Linked DNA regions of Arabidopsis thaliana. The protein of the gene in region 1 interacts with the protein of each later gene in a pairwise test. Each region holds a gene or a part of one and is shown in the gene's direction. Other genes may lie near its edges.

The links.
Region 2: the proteins of AT4G00980 (region 1) and FTRA2 interact in a two-hybrid assay, tested with the Arabidopsis thaliana proteins (one large-scale study listed by BioGRID).
Region 3: the proteins of AT4G00980 (region 1) and KIWI interact in a two-hybrid assay, tested with the Arabidopsis thaliana proteins (one large-scale study listed by BioGRID).
Region 4: the proteins of AT4G00980 (region 1) and AT5G09240 interact in a two-hybrid assay, tested with the Arabidopsis thaliana proteins (one large-scale study listed by BioGRID).

What each region holds. Positions count from the first base shown.
Region 1 is NC_003075.7:421,933-426,203, reverse strand, and holds AT4G00980 (zinc knuckle (CCHC-type) family protein), read left to right. Parts: upstream 1-1,615; 5' UTR 1,616-1,623; coding exon 1,624-1,947; intron 1,948-2,064; coding exon 2,065-2,155; intron 2,156-2,269; coding exon 2,270-2,360; intron 2,361-2,511; coding exon 2,512-3,472; 3' UTR 3,473-3,726; downstream 3,727-4,271.
Region 2 is NC_003076.8:2,709,288-2,712,257, reverse strand, and holds FTRA2 (ferredoxin/thioredoxin reductase subunit A (variable subunit) 2), read left to right. Parts: upstream 1-1,659; 5' UTR 1,660-1,669; coding exon 1,670-2,284; 3' UTR 2,285-2,448; downstream 2,449-2,970. Other genes in the region: AT5G08415 (Radical SAM superfamily protein), read left to right, coding at 112-202, 320-477, 690-861, 984-1,094, 1,198-1,275. UniProt on the Arabidopsis thaliana protein: Variable subunit of the ferredoxin-thioredoxin reductase (FTR), which catalyzes the two-electron reduction of thioredoxins by the electrons provided by reduced ferredoxin.
Region 3 is NC_003076.8:2,874,688-2,878,535, reverse strand, and holds KIWI (ssDNA-binding transcriptional regulator), read left to right. Parts: upstream 1-1,926; 5' UTR 1,927-2,056; intron 2,057-2,158; 5' UTR 2,159-2,167; coding exon 2,168-2,302; intron 2,303-2,414; coding exon of another isoform or gene 2,415-2,454; coding exon 2,455-2,560; coding exon of another isoform or gene 2,561-2,577; exon of another isoform or gene 2,578-2,931; coding exon 2,932-3,050; 3' UTR 3,051-3,055; coding exon of another isoform or gene 3,056-3,115; 3' UTR 3,116-3,348; downstream 3,349-3,848. Other genes in the region: VPS20.2 (vacuolar protein sorting-associated protein 20.2), read right to left, coding at 181-206, 284-416, 575-658, 815-967, 1,121-1,273, 1,638-1,739; AT5G09240 (ssDNA-binding transcriptional regulator), read left to right, coding at 3,756-3,848. UniProt on the Arabidopsis thaliana protein: General coactivator that functions cooperatively with TAFs and mediates functional interactions between upstream activators and the general transcriptional machinery. Binds single-stranded DNA.
Region 4 is NC_003076.8:2,873,092-2,876,630, reverse strand, and holds AT5G09240 (ssDNA-binding transcriptional regulator), read left to right. Parts: upstream 1-1,781; 5' UTR 1,782-1,850; coding exon 1,851-1,982; intron 1,983-2,095; coding exon 2,096-2,207; intron 2,208-2,492; coding exon of another isoform or gene 2,493-2,565; coding exon 2,566-2,738; 3' UTR 2,739-2,971; downstream 2,972-3,539. Other genes in the region: KIWI (ssDNA-binding transcriptional regulator), read left to right, coding at 263-397, 550-655, 1,027-1,145; SRT2 (sirtuin 2), read right to left, coding at 3,018-3,068, 3,188-3,287, 3,360-3,487.

The sequences.
Region 1 (4,271 bases):
AAAAGGCATTCGGTACAACTAAATGTGGGTAGAAAGTTTCATGGAGGAGCTGAATCATTTGCTGACCGGCGGAAGATTTCTCCGGCGAAGCAGTGACGGGGCATGTGCTGAAACGTTGATCTACGCTGCAATCTCCACATTGCATACATGTGTCATCATATTGTCTATTTAATGTTTGCAATTAGTGGGCTTTTGGCCTCAAGTTGTACCTGTTTATGAAGCCCATTTGGGCTAATTAATAGAAAAATGTTTGCCGTTAAAAAAAAAAAAAAAAAAGTGGTTCGATGGTCGTAAATAACTTTTATGGGTTTTGGTCTTGGGTTAGAGAATTCAAATTCATGGGCCAACCCAATTTTCATTTTAAGTGCTTCTTCTATGATGACATTTCACGAAAATAATACAATGGATTGTCGAGGAAAGAAGTGATGTTTTCTGTAAATTGTTAGGCATTAGTTATTGGAGAAGCGAAATGTGAAATGCACATTGTTTGTTGGCTATTAACTTGCTTTTAAAGGTGACTTGAACATATTTGGTGTCTTATGTTGATTCCGAAGCTATGAGTACTTTTGATCAATCTAGTTTATGAAGTTACTTTTAGCATCGCCTTCTCGATTTTGTTACTGCCATCACATGTCAAGTTGGTTTTGATGTTTTGTAAGCATTGATAAGCTTTAACGAACAAACTTTTTTTTGTTATCATTACTGCGTATTGGAGTTTTGCATTACATCTTTTGCTTCTCTTATGGCTGAGCAGGGCCGGCCCTGGGCTAAAGTTGGTGAAACTCATGCTTTACGCGCCTAAAATTATAGATAATATTAAAGGGCATCAAATTTTAAAAATGTTTCGTAGTCTAGTGATTGTTTCATAGATTAGTGACTCTTTCGTGGACAGTTCGAACCTTACCTTCGTTTTTTTGAGACTTTAATTATAAATAGATTTAAAATGCTTAAGAATTTTAAATGAGCTTAAAGATGTTTTAGGCATCAAAATCTGTTGGGTTAGCCCTCTGGCTGAGTCTGAGCTCGCAGCATGCAATACTAATTTCTTAAGCTGCAATGCAGTGAGAAGACAAGTAAAACAAGATTAACATTAGCCCAAACTAGATTATTCACAACAAATGTTAATGACTATTACCTTGCTATCTTTATATTTAGCCTCTTTTGTTTGAGCTTAATTTTCAAAAATAATTTGCTTTCTGTCGGTTTAGTTTCTAGAAGGATTCGACTCTTAGTATCTTATCGGCTTCGTGAAGAAAAACTGTATTTCACCCATATATTTCTCAATCGTATTCGTATCTCACCCATGTATTCATATATCGTATTATAAAACAGAAAAGATATATAGATAAGGAAAAAAAACTCATATATATATATTTGCATATATAAAGTATTAAATGCAACAGCTATAGCAAAAAGGTTCTATGGTCTAGCGGTTAGGACATTGGACTCTGAATCCAGTAACCCGAGTTCAATTCTCGGTAGAACCTCTTTTTTTCACACTCCGGCCAAATTTTTTCCCCCGGCGATTTATGAACCCTAAATATAACGCCGGCCAACAACCAAAACTCGACGCTACTGCGAAATCTTTTTCTTTATCCTTTTTTTTCTTCTTTTTCGGGCGAAATGGAGAATTCGTTGCTTGATTCTGGTGAAACTATGGAGATTGTCGCTACACAAAAAATCGAGGAAACAGTGAAGAGCATACTCAGTGAATCTGATATGGACCAAATGACGGAGTTCAAACTCCGACTTGACGCTTCGGCTAAACTCGGTATCGACTTATCGGGAACCAATCACAAGAAGCTAGTCAGAGATGTTCTTGAGGTCTTTTTGCTATCGACTCCCGGTGAAGCACTCGTACCGGAGACGGTGGCTCCGGCGAAAAATGAGACAGTTTCTGTTGCTGCCGCTTCCGTTGGTGGTGAAGATGAGCGCTTTATTTGTAAGGTTGCGACTTTGCCTATTTGTTCTATGTTTGATTCACTGTATAGAGTAGAGATTGTGATCATCTCGATTTTGAGTTTTTCAGTGGTCACTGTAGAAATTGTTGGTCTTTAACTGTAGTTATCGGAGAAGCAAAATGCGACGGTTCAAAGATACAGAGGCCAACCTTTTCTATCGATTGGTTCTCAGGAACATGGAAAGGCTTTTAGAGGTAATTTGAAACACAACTTGGTGTCTTGGTCTTGACTATGAAGCTATAAGTAGCCATTTTTGTTTTAGATATGCTCCTGTTGATTTCAATTGTTAGATGTTTCTTCTCTGTCAGGAGCACATTTGTCAACTAACCAATGGTCTGTAATCAAGAAGAATTTTGCAGCGATAGAGGACGGTATTAAGCAGTGCCAATCAAAACTAAAGTAAGAATGTGTACCTTATTTTAAGTCTATAAAGATTCATGTTCCCTGGCATTGCTTTTAGTGTTTTATGGTCATATAATCATCGTGGCATAGGGCATTACTGTCTGGCTAGCAATGTAGGCTGCTTATCTTGCTATTAAACGTTATGCAGATCTGAAGCAGCACGAAATGGAGATACTTCTGAGGCTGTGGATAAGGACAGCTCTCACGGTTTTTCTGTTATCAAGATTTCACGATTTGATGGAAAGAGTTATCTTTACTGGGCTTCACAGATGGAACTCTTTCTGAAGCAATTGAAGCTGACTTATGTACTCTCTGAACCTTGTCCCAGTATTGGTAGCTCTCAAGGCCCTGAAACCAACCCCAGGGAAATAACTCGAGCTGATGCTACGGGGAAAAAATGGTTGAGAGATGATTACCTGTGCTATACTCACTTGATGAACTCCTTGTCAGATCATCTATACCGTCGATACTCTCAGAAATTTAAGCATGCCAAAGAATTGTGGGACGAGTTAAAATGGGTCTACCAGTGTGATGAATCCAAATCGAAGAGGTCACAAGTCAGAAAGTACATTGAATTCAGAATGGTGGAAGAGAGACCGATACTCGAGCAAGTCCAAGTCTTTAACAAGATTGCGGATTCCATAGTGAGTGCTGGTATGTTTCTTGATGAGGCATTTCATGTGAGTACCATCATCTCCAAGTTTCCCCCGTCTTGGAGAGGCTTCTGCACCAGGTTAATGGAAGAGGAGTATTTACCAGTCTGGATGTTGATGGAACGAGTAAAAGCTGAGGAAGAGCTTCTCAGAAATGGAGCAAAAGGGGTTACATATAGACCAGCCACAGGCTCCTCTCAGATGGAAAGGACACCGAGTCTAGGAACAACACATAGAGGATCTCAGAGCGTAGGTTGGAAGAGGAAAGAACCTGAGAGAGACGAGAGAGTCATCATCGTCTGTGACAACTGTGGGAGGAAAGGACATCTCGCAAAGCATTGCTGGGGTAGTAAATCTGATGAGAGAGCTTCCGGAAAATCAAACCGGATCAACTCCTCAGTCGCTGCACCTGTGGAATCAGAGACTCAAGCAACAACAAACAATGATAGGGGGTAGTAGTTGATGATTGCTGAAGCCAAAATGTTTATATCTCTTCACAGATATACTTAAAGAGGTAAGTCTTTTGAATACCGTTGATTCAGGATTCAGAAGCAGTCCTTTTATGACCTTTTTTCAGCTTGTCCATATGTCTGGCCTATTAGATTTATGACACTGAAATGTATAAAAGAAGAACAGAGAGATGACCAATAGATCAGTTTTGGCCTGATTTAATGTAAAAGTATACTTTTATGAATGATAATTTTTTTGTCAAAATTGCTTTTTAAATCCTATTTTGAGGAACCAAAATAAAAACAGAAACCTCAAAACTGATATACAAACAAATAAACTGACATCAATTGAGGTGACAATACTTAACACACAACCAAAAATTAAGAGTTTCTTTGTCCCAAGCGTTATGGAAGATATTCTCAGCCTCTAAAATTAAACTTGAACGTCGAAATTTTAAAAAGGACCAGATGGAGAGTAATATAAAATTAGCGGGTGAAAAATAGAAGAAATTAAAAGTTTCAGGGTGAAAAGGAAAAAAAATGAAACCTGTCAGACCGCCGTGCGACCACCCCGGCAAGGGAGAACCGAGCCGAGTAACCATCCTCTACAGCACCGGATGCATCCAAGGACAATCGTAGCCGTCAATCACGCTCAAGCCGCACGGTCACGGTTCATCAACAAGGGTTTAGGGCCTGTCTCTTGAGAAATTTTCTCAAGAAAACAGATGTACGAGCCTATAGTTCAAGTAAGGTCGTGACCATTGATGCTTTGTATCCATATATAAAGAAAACGTTTCTCCACTAGC
Region 2 (2,970 bases), on another chromosome or scaffold:
GGAGAGGGGATGAAAATTAAAAATAGTGTCTCTCAACAGTCACTACTGCATCTTTGTTAATTTATGATGGGTGTATCATGATATGCTATTTTGCATTTTCCTTTGTTGCAGTGTAGACTACATAGTTATTACCAGCGTAGACCGTGACGATATACCTGATGGTGGAAGTGGACATTTTGCGCAGACTGTCAAAGCTATGAAGGTTATTAATATTCTATTTGTTTATGCATTATGTTATTTAAGCATACCTTTTTGTGCATTTCTCGAATGTTGTTTCAGAGTATTTATGAAAATGAAAATATATATCTCATCTCTGTAGAGACATAAGCCGGATATAATGATAGAATGCTTAACTTCTGATTTTCGTGGGGATTTGGAGGCTGTCGACACTCTTGTGCACTCGGGATTGGATGTTTTTGCTCACAATGTCGAGACTGTGAAAAGGCTCCAGCGACTTGTGAGGGATCCTAGGGCTGGGTGAGTGCTGTTTCTTGTTCTTCATTTTTTTATATGTTCTGCAAATTTGGTTATGGCATAGATGGGCTGAGCAGTGAATTGATCCTCTGCTCCGGGATGTCAATCTCATATTACACAGTCAAATATCTCCTAAAGTGAGACATAGGTGGTGTTCTGCATCTTTAGTTGTAGTAAATCTCCATTTTAATGTGGATATAATGTGGAGAATGCAGATATGAGCAGAGCATGTCAGTTTTGAAACATGCAAAGATCAGCAAACCTGGAATGATCACAAAGACATCCATAATGCTTGGTCTTGGAGAAACAGACGAAGAGTTGAAGGAAGCAATGGCTGATCTAAGAGCTATAGATGTTGATATTCTAACACTTGGCCAGTATCTACAGGTAAACTAATCACTTCAACATTCCCCACATCATTCGCAATATTCCTATTTCCAAGATAGAAAGATCCCAAATTTCAAAGAACATCTACGATTTAAAACCGTTTCTCTTGTTCCACAATGAAGCCAACTCCATTGCATCTGACTGTGAAAGAGTATGTCACACCTGAGAAGTTTGATTTCTGGAAAACATACGGAGAATCAATAGGATTTCGTTATGTTGCAAGTGGTCCACTGGTAAAGCCACAAACTATTTCTTACTCTTTATGTCAAAAAATATCTGAGAACATAGAAGATACAGAAATGTACTTGTTTGATATTGGATATATACTTTTTGCAGGTAAGATCTTCATATAGAGCAGGAGAGCTTTTTGTTAAGACAATGGTGAAAGAAAGCTACTCTAAATCCTTGTCTTAATAACAACAATGGCTACTATAATGCCAAAAATGATTGCTGAGACCACAAAGCCTTCTTCCTATCTTTTTTGTTTGTTTCTTTTAATAGACTTCATTTATTTTGGTAATTGATTTGGAAACCATTGTGGATATATAAAAGTTTATATATACTAGTTTTGTGTTATTATAAAATCCTGCCAATAATATCTGGAAATTGTCTCAAGATATTTACAGTGTTGATTCTCTATCTGAAGCCACAAGTTCCTCATCTCTTACATTGTCTTAAGTCTGACACGCGTCGCCTTTCTTTATCCAAAAATAATCCGACTTTTAATTTAAACCAAATAATTAGCAAAATTAGTAATCACCTTGATTAAATTAACCATCTAATATAAATAGATGAGGGGCTAAATGATATGATCTTTTTTGTTTTCTCTCACACTTTCTTAAGATTTTTTTCTTCGGCTCGGACGCAGATGACTAACAGTTACGCTCTGTCACCGGCGATTATCGCCGCCGTTCGTCCTCCGGCATCTCAAGACTATCTAGTTGCTGCTTCTCTTAGTGGACGCAAATCGATCAACTCTTCATCTTCGTCCATTTTCGTACCTATCTCATTATCTACTTCCTACGGTCGAAGCAAATGCGCCTTCTCAATCTCGCGGAAGAATCCAAAATCGACGATTCGTTGCGATATTGCTGTGAAATCGGCGGCTTCTGTAGACGCGGACGCTGATCTATCGTCATCTACGTCGTTGGAGACGGAGGAAGACGAGAAAGCGAAGGAGAAGATTGGAGCTAGGGTTAGGGTTACGGTTCCGTTGAAAGTTTACCATGTGGTTCGTGTACCGGAGGTTGAATTGATGGGAATGGAAGGTTTTATCAAAGATTACGTCGTTCTTTGGAAAGGAAAGAAAATCTCAGCTAATCTGCCGTTTAAGGTACAGTTCGTGAAAGAGATCGAAGGTCGTGGTCCTGTCAAATTCTTCACGCATCTTAAGGAAGACGAGTTCGAGTTAATTGATCCGTGATTGAATTGAAAAAGGCAAAAACTTTTCTTCTCTTTCTGATATTAGACTTGAAAAATCTTTTGTGAATGGTTTGTTTGTATGTACTTTTGTATACATTTAGCTTATTATATACATAAGATTTCACCCATTCTTGAATCCTTTATTGCTGTTTTCTTGCTTCTGATTTGGTTTCCCAGAGTATATAGTTCGTCTTGTGTTGGAGAAACTAAAAGCTGTCTATTGATCCATTGACTAGCTTAGAAGCCTATCAAACTGATTTTGCATTTGATGTGTTCACTTCAAATGAACATCATTGAATGATCTTATCCTCAAAATCTATCATCCGTTGGAGGTTATGAAGTAGATGGTAGTGAGCATGAAAGTGGTAAAGATATTGGTTTATGTAACTAAAGAGTGTTTTCAGTTGATTGTTATAGTGAGAATCTTTGTTTGTAGTTAGAACCAGAAACTAAAAGGAATGACATCAGTTGTTTTCTAGGTTCTTATCCTCTTTGTTTCGTATAATCAAATGTGGGATTGCATTCTCTGATCTTTGTAGAAGAGTCTTTGAGTTAGAAGTAATGATGGCATGAGAGAGTGTTGAGGAATTAGTTTATGTGTCAATGTGGATGGTTCCTTTGCTGCAACTCTTTTTTGTAGTAATAATATGAGTATATGATGTGGGCAGTAGTATTGTGGTAATTCTT
Region 3 (3,848 bases), on another chromosome or scaffold:
TTAGAAACAACCAAACCATTTTACAAGGAGAGAGACTCCATGAACTTGGTTCTTTACAAGCTGCAGGAGTAAGAAGAGAATACACAAAGATCTTCAAGAGCCCATAACAAAAAGGTTTCCAAAGAATGATTATAATCCGAGGTGGCTATGTAGTAGTCTATCAGATTCTTCACTTCTGAATCAAGCTTCCAAAGGTTCTTCAAGAACTGCAACAACAAAAGCATCTATGAGTTAAAGGTTCTTTGTATGAAGCAATTGTTACTTGAACAAACATCACAAAAACCTTTTCTCTTTGTTGAAGTGGTTTCATTGGAAGCGACTGGTGCTTTTGTTGGCACATCAGGGAGATCCATTTTCTCGGGTTCTTCAGGCATGAGCTCTGTCGTAGGCACTTCAGGCATATCTTCAACAATCAGCTTCAAAACAAACAAACATTATATATCACATTTGACTCCACTCAAGAAGATTGTTTCACAAAGTAAATGGTGGTACTCGAAACATCAATAGGGCAGTACGGTCATAATGCTGGAAACAATTGTATCTGAGAAACAAGAGAATCCATTATGTAGCATACCAGACTTTCTAGGTTGTCGAATTCTGCTAAGATCTCTTCTTCATCTTCCGCTGATAGTTTCTCACCTAATATGGCACTCAGTTCCTAAAATCAAAGTGTTTAACAGTTAGATCAAGCAAGGGAATACTCATAACCATGAAGGAGAAAAACAAGGAGAAGCTCGGCAAATGTGACAAATGATTGTAACTATAAGCGAACCACACAAACAAAAAGGAACAACAAGATTCACTATTAACTCACATCCTGATAAGCCTTGGCCTCGGCAGTGTCATCCATCAGTTTTTGAACATCATCAAGGTTGACCTCGCTCTGAATCGCCTTAATTGCATTGTTACCTTGCTTTAAGCTCTCAAAGACTGCTTTTTGCTTGCTTGTAAGTTCGATATCTGCCAACTGAGTCATAAAGACAGGTTCAAAATATATTCGTTTATGTTTCTTTCAAAACATAAAATCAGCTATAAAAGAAAAGAAAAGTACTGTTTATATAGCACTAAGGTTATGTGATGGAAACAAGGAGATGATAAGAAGAAGGTCAAGCCAATTTACTTGTTGTTCGACATTGATGAGCCACTGATCTACTTGCTTCAACAACTCTTCTTGTGTCCGTTTTTTCTTCAATGCTAACAAAGCCCTGTCCTTTCGCTTCTCACGGATTAAGTCTCTTGCAGCTTGCTTTTCTGCTTCAATTACTTTCTCAAGCTAAAAAGAAAGGTTTAAGAGAAAGAAAGGTCAAAGCTCAGGATCATAGGAAAGAAAAAAAAAACATTTGCATTCCACTTTCTCAGCGATCAAACTCACTATCTACCAATAGTGGCGATGAAATAATTAAACCATCATTAGCTTGACATAAGAATCAACATTTGGATCCAAGACAGATTCTGAAGGCAACTTCTACATTTAACTGCTTCTTAAACCTCGAGAACCCATAGCCGAAATTCAGTAACCTTTACCCTTATTCATAACCATTAGTGAATCGAATCAAACTGCACTTTCTGTCTCAGACCAAATTCGAGCAAGAATAAACCCTAGAAATGCGAAATCACAAGGCGAAGGAATCAAGAACCTGTTGCTGATATTGACCAAGCTTGCGCCTTTGGGTTTTGAGAGAGAGAATCGCTCGATCAACCTCCGTGATCTTCGGTTTCTTCACGAATAAATTCCCCATCGAGTTTTGTCAAGGGTTCGGCGATTTCAAACCAAGTCCAAATCTTTTTGTTTTCACCTTTCCCAAGCAAAAAAGCTCCCGCGTTTTCTCAAATTCGCGTTTATAAAAAAGCGTTCCGAATCAAAACAACTGTCACAGTTCTAATTTTATCACACGCTCTGCAACAGCGCGTGGTCGGTGAACACATTAACATAAATACGCGAGAAGAGACGCGCCGATTCATTTTTCTTCAGAATCTCTCAATTCTCTTTTGTCGATTTCGCAGTAGAAGAGTCCTTTCGCCGTCTCCGAGAAACTCGTTGCAGCGTCACGACCAGGTTTCCTTCTCACTTTTACTAAATTTTGTAATTGCTCGGTTTTTTGTTTAGTGCGAGTTTACTCTGGTCTGAAGAGAACATTTTGGGTCTGCTTATTTACAGTTGGAGAAAATGTCTTCTAGAGGAAAAAGGAAAGACGAAGATGTCAGAGCATCAGATGACGAATCTGAAACCCACGCGCCGGCTAAGAAAGTCGCAAAGCCAGCAGACGATTCCGACCAGTCTGACGATATCGTCGTCTGCAACGTTAGTCTACACTTTCTGTCTATCTTTCAATTTCGTTATCTACTCTATTAGCAGTGAGCTTATGGGTTTCGGTCAAGTTTTAATTTTGTTGATGTGTTTTGCTCAAAATTAGGGTTTTAATCAAATTAGGGTTCATGTTGGTTATACATCAGATATCTAAGAATAGGAGAGTCTCTGTAAGGAATTGGAACGGGAAGATTTGGATTGACATTCGTGAGTTCTATGTCAAGGACGGAAAGACTTTGCCTGGCAAGAAAGGTAACTTTATTTTGTAATTTAAACCAATGCCCCTTGGCTCTCATAATTCATTATTTCTAGTAATGTGTTTCCTCATCTCTTAGTTTTATATTTCGTTACTGTTTTGCTTTGTTAAGTTTCTGCATTTAGTCAGGTTTATAGAATTGCATATCTTAGGGTTTTATAATAGGCAATTCTGCTTATTGAGACTGTTTATGGACTTGTAAGTATGAGCGGAGATGGTGCAGAGTGTTTGCTTTTGTACAACAACGTTTTGTTTATTTTGGTGCTATTGCTCCTTCATGTCTTTCTCTAGAGACAGCTATATTAGTTTATCTCTACATAACTAATCATGTTGACAAGATTATCTCTATGTTTGTTATACGTTGCAGGTATCTCTCTAAGCGTGGATCAGGTACTCACATCTCTTTCTATCTCTCTCCACTGTTTTATGTCTCCTAGAAGTGTTTCTGTTTTCTTGTTATTTGCTTATTACACAGCTTTTCCTTAATGCAGTGGAACACTCTTCGGAACCACGCAGAGGATATCGAGAAGGCCCTCTCTGACCTTTCTTAGGTTTTAAAACTTGTATCATTGGTTGTACGTCTATTAGAATATGGCTCAGTTGTTTTGGTTGTTTTTGTAGAACAACACCATGTTCTGCTAGTGTAAGCTGCTTCAAATTAGTTGGTGTATGGAATCTTTCACTTTTGGTTCAGACAAGCTTTGGTTGGTATTAAGAATATAATGATTGCTCTTTTATTTACTGCTGTAGTGCTGTTTTATTTGCAAATTAAGATACGTTGCAGGAATACAAGTATTCATTTGATAAGTTATAAACAAGATAGGTCTAAATGTTACATAGCTCTTGCCAAACTTCACTTGATCCGGACAAGGCCATAAGCAGACATTGTCTTTGAAGATGAACCCATCACAATAAATGTATCACTCTGTGTTGCTACTTTCATTGCTATAGTTGCTCTTTTCCAAAGAATATTTACCTTCCCAAAAAACTCCCCCGTTTTAAGTTTGGCCGCGCGTGTTCTCAAACTGTGCGCTTGTAAAATGGCGTTCCGAATCTGATATCACAGTTGTAATTCGGTGAACGCAGTAGATATATTACGCGAGAAAAGGAGAGAGGTGCTTTTTATTTAACTTGAGAATCTCAAGAGTCAATTTTTGCAGTAGAAGAGTGTTTTTTTTAGAGGTTAAGAAAATGTCTGAGAACGGAAAAAGGAAAGACGAGGATGTCAGAGCATCAGACGACCGCGACGAATCTGAGACCCACGCGCCGCCTAAGAAAGTGGCA
Region 4 (3,539 bases), on another chromosome or scaffold:
GCGCGTGGTCGGTGAACACATTAACATAAATACGCGAGAAGAGACGCGCCGATTCATTTTTCTTCAGAATCTCTCAATTCTCTTTTGTCGATTTCGCAGTAGAAGAGTCCTTTCGCCGTCTCCGAGAAACTCGTTGCAGCGTCACGACCAGGTTTCCTTCTCACTTTTACTAAATTTTGTAATTGCTCGGTTTTTTGTTTAGTGCGAGTTTACTCTGGTCTGAAGAGAACATTTTGGGTCTGCTTATTTACAGTTGGAGAAAATGTCTTCTAGAGGAAAAAGGAAAGACGAAGATGTCAGAGCATCAGATGACGAATCTGAAACCCACGCGCCGGCTAAGAAAGTCGCAAAGCCAGCAGACGATTCCGACCAGTCTGACGATATCGTCGTCTGCAACGTTAGTCTACACTTTCTGTCTATCTTTCAATTTCGTTATCTACTCTATTAGCAGTGAGCTTATGGGTTTCGGTCAAGTTTTAATTTTGTTGATGTGTTTTGCTCAAAATTAGGGTTTTAATCAAATTAGGGTTCATGTTGGTTATACATCAGATATCTAAGAATAGGAGAGTCTCTGTAAGGAATTGGAACGGGAAGATTTGGATTGACATTCGTGAGTTCTATGTCAAGGACGGAAAGACTTTGCCTGGCAAGAAAGGTAACTTTATTTTGTAATTTAAACCAATGCCCCTTGGCTCTCATAATTCATTATTTCTAGTAATGTGTTTCCTCATCTCTTAGTTTTATATTTCGTTACTGTTTTGCTTTGTTAAGTTTCTGCATTTAGTCAGGTTTATAGAATTGCATATCTTAGGGTTTTATAATAGGCAATTCTGCTTATTGAGACTGTTTATGGACTTGTAAGTATGAGCGGAGATGGTGCAGAGTGTTTGCTTTTGTACAACAACGTTTTGTTTATTTTGGTGCTATTGCTCCTTCATGTCTTTCTCTAGAGACAGCTATATTAGTTTATCTCTACATAACTAATCATGTTGACAAGATTATCTCTATGTTTGTTATACGTTGCAGGTATCTCTCTAAGCGTGGATCAGGTACTCACATCTCTTTCTATCTCTCTCCACTGTTTTATGTCTCCTAGAAGTGTTTCTGTTTTCTTGTTATTTGCTTATTACACAGCTTTTCCTTAATGCAGTGGAACACTCTTCGGAACCACGCAGAGGATATCGAGAAGGCCCTCTCTGACCTTTCTTAGGTTTTAAAACTTGTATCATTGGTTGTACGTCTATTAGAATATGGCTCAGTTGTTTTGGTTGTTTTTGTAGAACAACACCATGTTCTGCTAGTGTAAGCTGCTTCAAATTAGTTGGTGTATGGAATCTTTCACTTTTGGTTCAGACAAGCTTTGGTTGGTATTAAGAATATAATGATTGCTCTTTTATTTACTGCTGTAGTGCTGTTTTATTTGCAAATTAAGATACGTTGCAGGAATACAAGTATTCATTTGATAAGTTATAAACAAGATAGGTCTAAATGTTACATAGCTCTTGCCAAACTTCACTTGATCCGGACAAGGCCATAAGCAGACATTGTCTTTGAAGATGAACCCATCACAATAAATGTATCACTCTGTGTTGCTACTTTCATTGCTATAGTTGCTCTTTTCCAAAGAATATTTACCTTCCCAAAAAACTCCCCCGTTTTAAGTTTGGCCGCGCGTGTTCTCAAACTGTGCGCTTGTAAAATGGCGTTCCGAATCTGATATCACAGTTGTAATTCGGTGAACGCAGTAGATATATTACGCGAGAAAAGGAGAGAGGTGCTTTTTATTTAACTTGAGAATCTCAAGAGTCAATTTTTGCAGTAGAAGAGTGTTTTTTTTAGAGGTTAAGAAAATGTCTGAGAACGGAAAAAGGAAAGACGAGGATGTCAGAGCATCAGACGACCGCGACGAATCTGAGACCCACGCGCCGCCTAAGAAAGTGGCAAAGCCAGCGGACGAGATTGAGGACATCTTCATCTGCAATGTTAGTCTCTCTACTATTCATCTCTTTTTTGTCTGTAGCAGTTCGTATGAGTTTTAGGGTTTGGATCAAGTTGTGATATTTGTTTATGATGTTATGTTTTGTTTACATTCCAGTTAGATAAGAATCGGAGAGTCTTTGTGAGGAATTGCAATGGGAGGATTTGGATTGCCATTCGTCAGTTCTTTGTCAAGGACGGTATAACTTTACCTTGTAATAGCAAGCAAGGTAAATTTTTGTTTTTAACTACATATCTTCTTTTGACTGTCTCTCTTCTTCTCACAATTCCACATTTGCTAATACTCTGTATCCTCCTCTCTTTTCTTTTTTATGGTCAACAATGTATCCTCATCCCTTTGTTTTCATGTTTTGTTTCGTTAAGGTTCTGCATTTAGTTAGCAGATCTTAGGGACTTTTATTATATATCTAGTACTTCTGCGGTTTGGGACTGAGAGGAGGAGATGCGCAGAGTGTTTTCTTTTCATCAACAACGTCTTGGTTTTTGTCTCCTAGGGCCAGCTATATTAGTTTGCTTTCTTTGCATAATCATGTTGACAAGATTTTCGATGTCTCCTATATGTTGCAGGTATCTCTCTAAGCCTGGAACAGGTATTCACATCTCTCTTCCATTGTTTATGTCTTCCACACGTGCATATGTCCTGCTTATTACACGAGACCTTTTTCTTAATGCAGTGGAACGATCTTCGGAACCATGAGGAGGATATCGATAAGGCCCTCTCTGAGCTTTCTGAGGTTTAAAAGCTTGTGTAATCGGGTATTGGAAGGTGGCTTTGGTTGTTTTGGTTTGTTTTTCAGAACAACACCATGTTCTGCAAGTGTTAGCTGCTTCGAGTTAGTTCATGTGTTGAATCTATTATTTGATGTTGATTACTCTTTTATTTGATGTTGGATTTACAACTTGAGATACGTTGCAGGAATACAAGCATTCATTTTGATTAGTTATAAATAATATATATAGGTGATCTAAATGATAACATAGCTCTTGCCAAAGTTTACTTAAATGATCCGGACATTGTGCTAGAGAGCTGGGACACTGAGCGATCCCACGTCAAGAACTCTGTGCAATATCTGCAGCAAACCAATCACGAAATGACAAATTATTAAGGCTGACAATCATGAAATAATATGGATATTTAAGGCATTTTCAAGGCTGAAGGAAAGGGAAGAGCTTTATGCTATGCTCATACCTCACCAACCCTAGCATTGATTTTCAATGGAACAATGTCATCAGCTCTTGTTTCGCCTATATTTACAATTGCGGTCATAGCACCAGCCTCATGAGCCGCTCTGCAAAAGGTATATAGAAAGCTTCTTAGTAAGATGCAAACTCAAAACTGGATGATTATTCTCCTGCATCACCTGCAAAGGCGAAAAGCAGACATTGTCATTAAGGATGAACCCAACACGAGGAATGCATCGCTCTGTTTTGCAACTTCCATTGCTTGAGTAGCTCTTTCCTTCGGGATGTTGTCTCCAAAGAAAATTACCTTCAATTCAACGAGAACATAATAAGAAACAGAGCTAAACTGATTCGTCTCT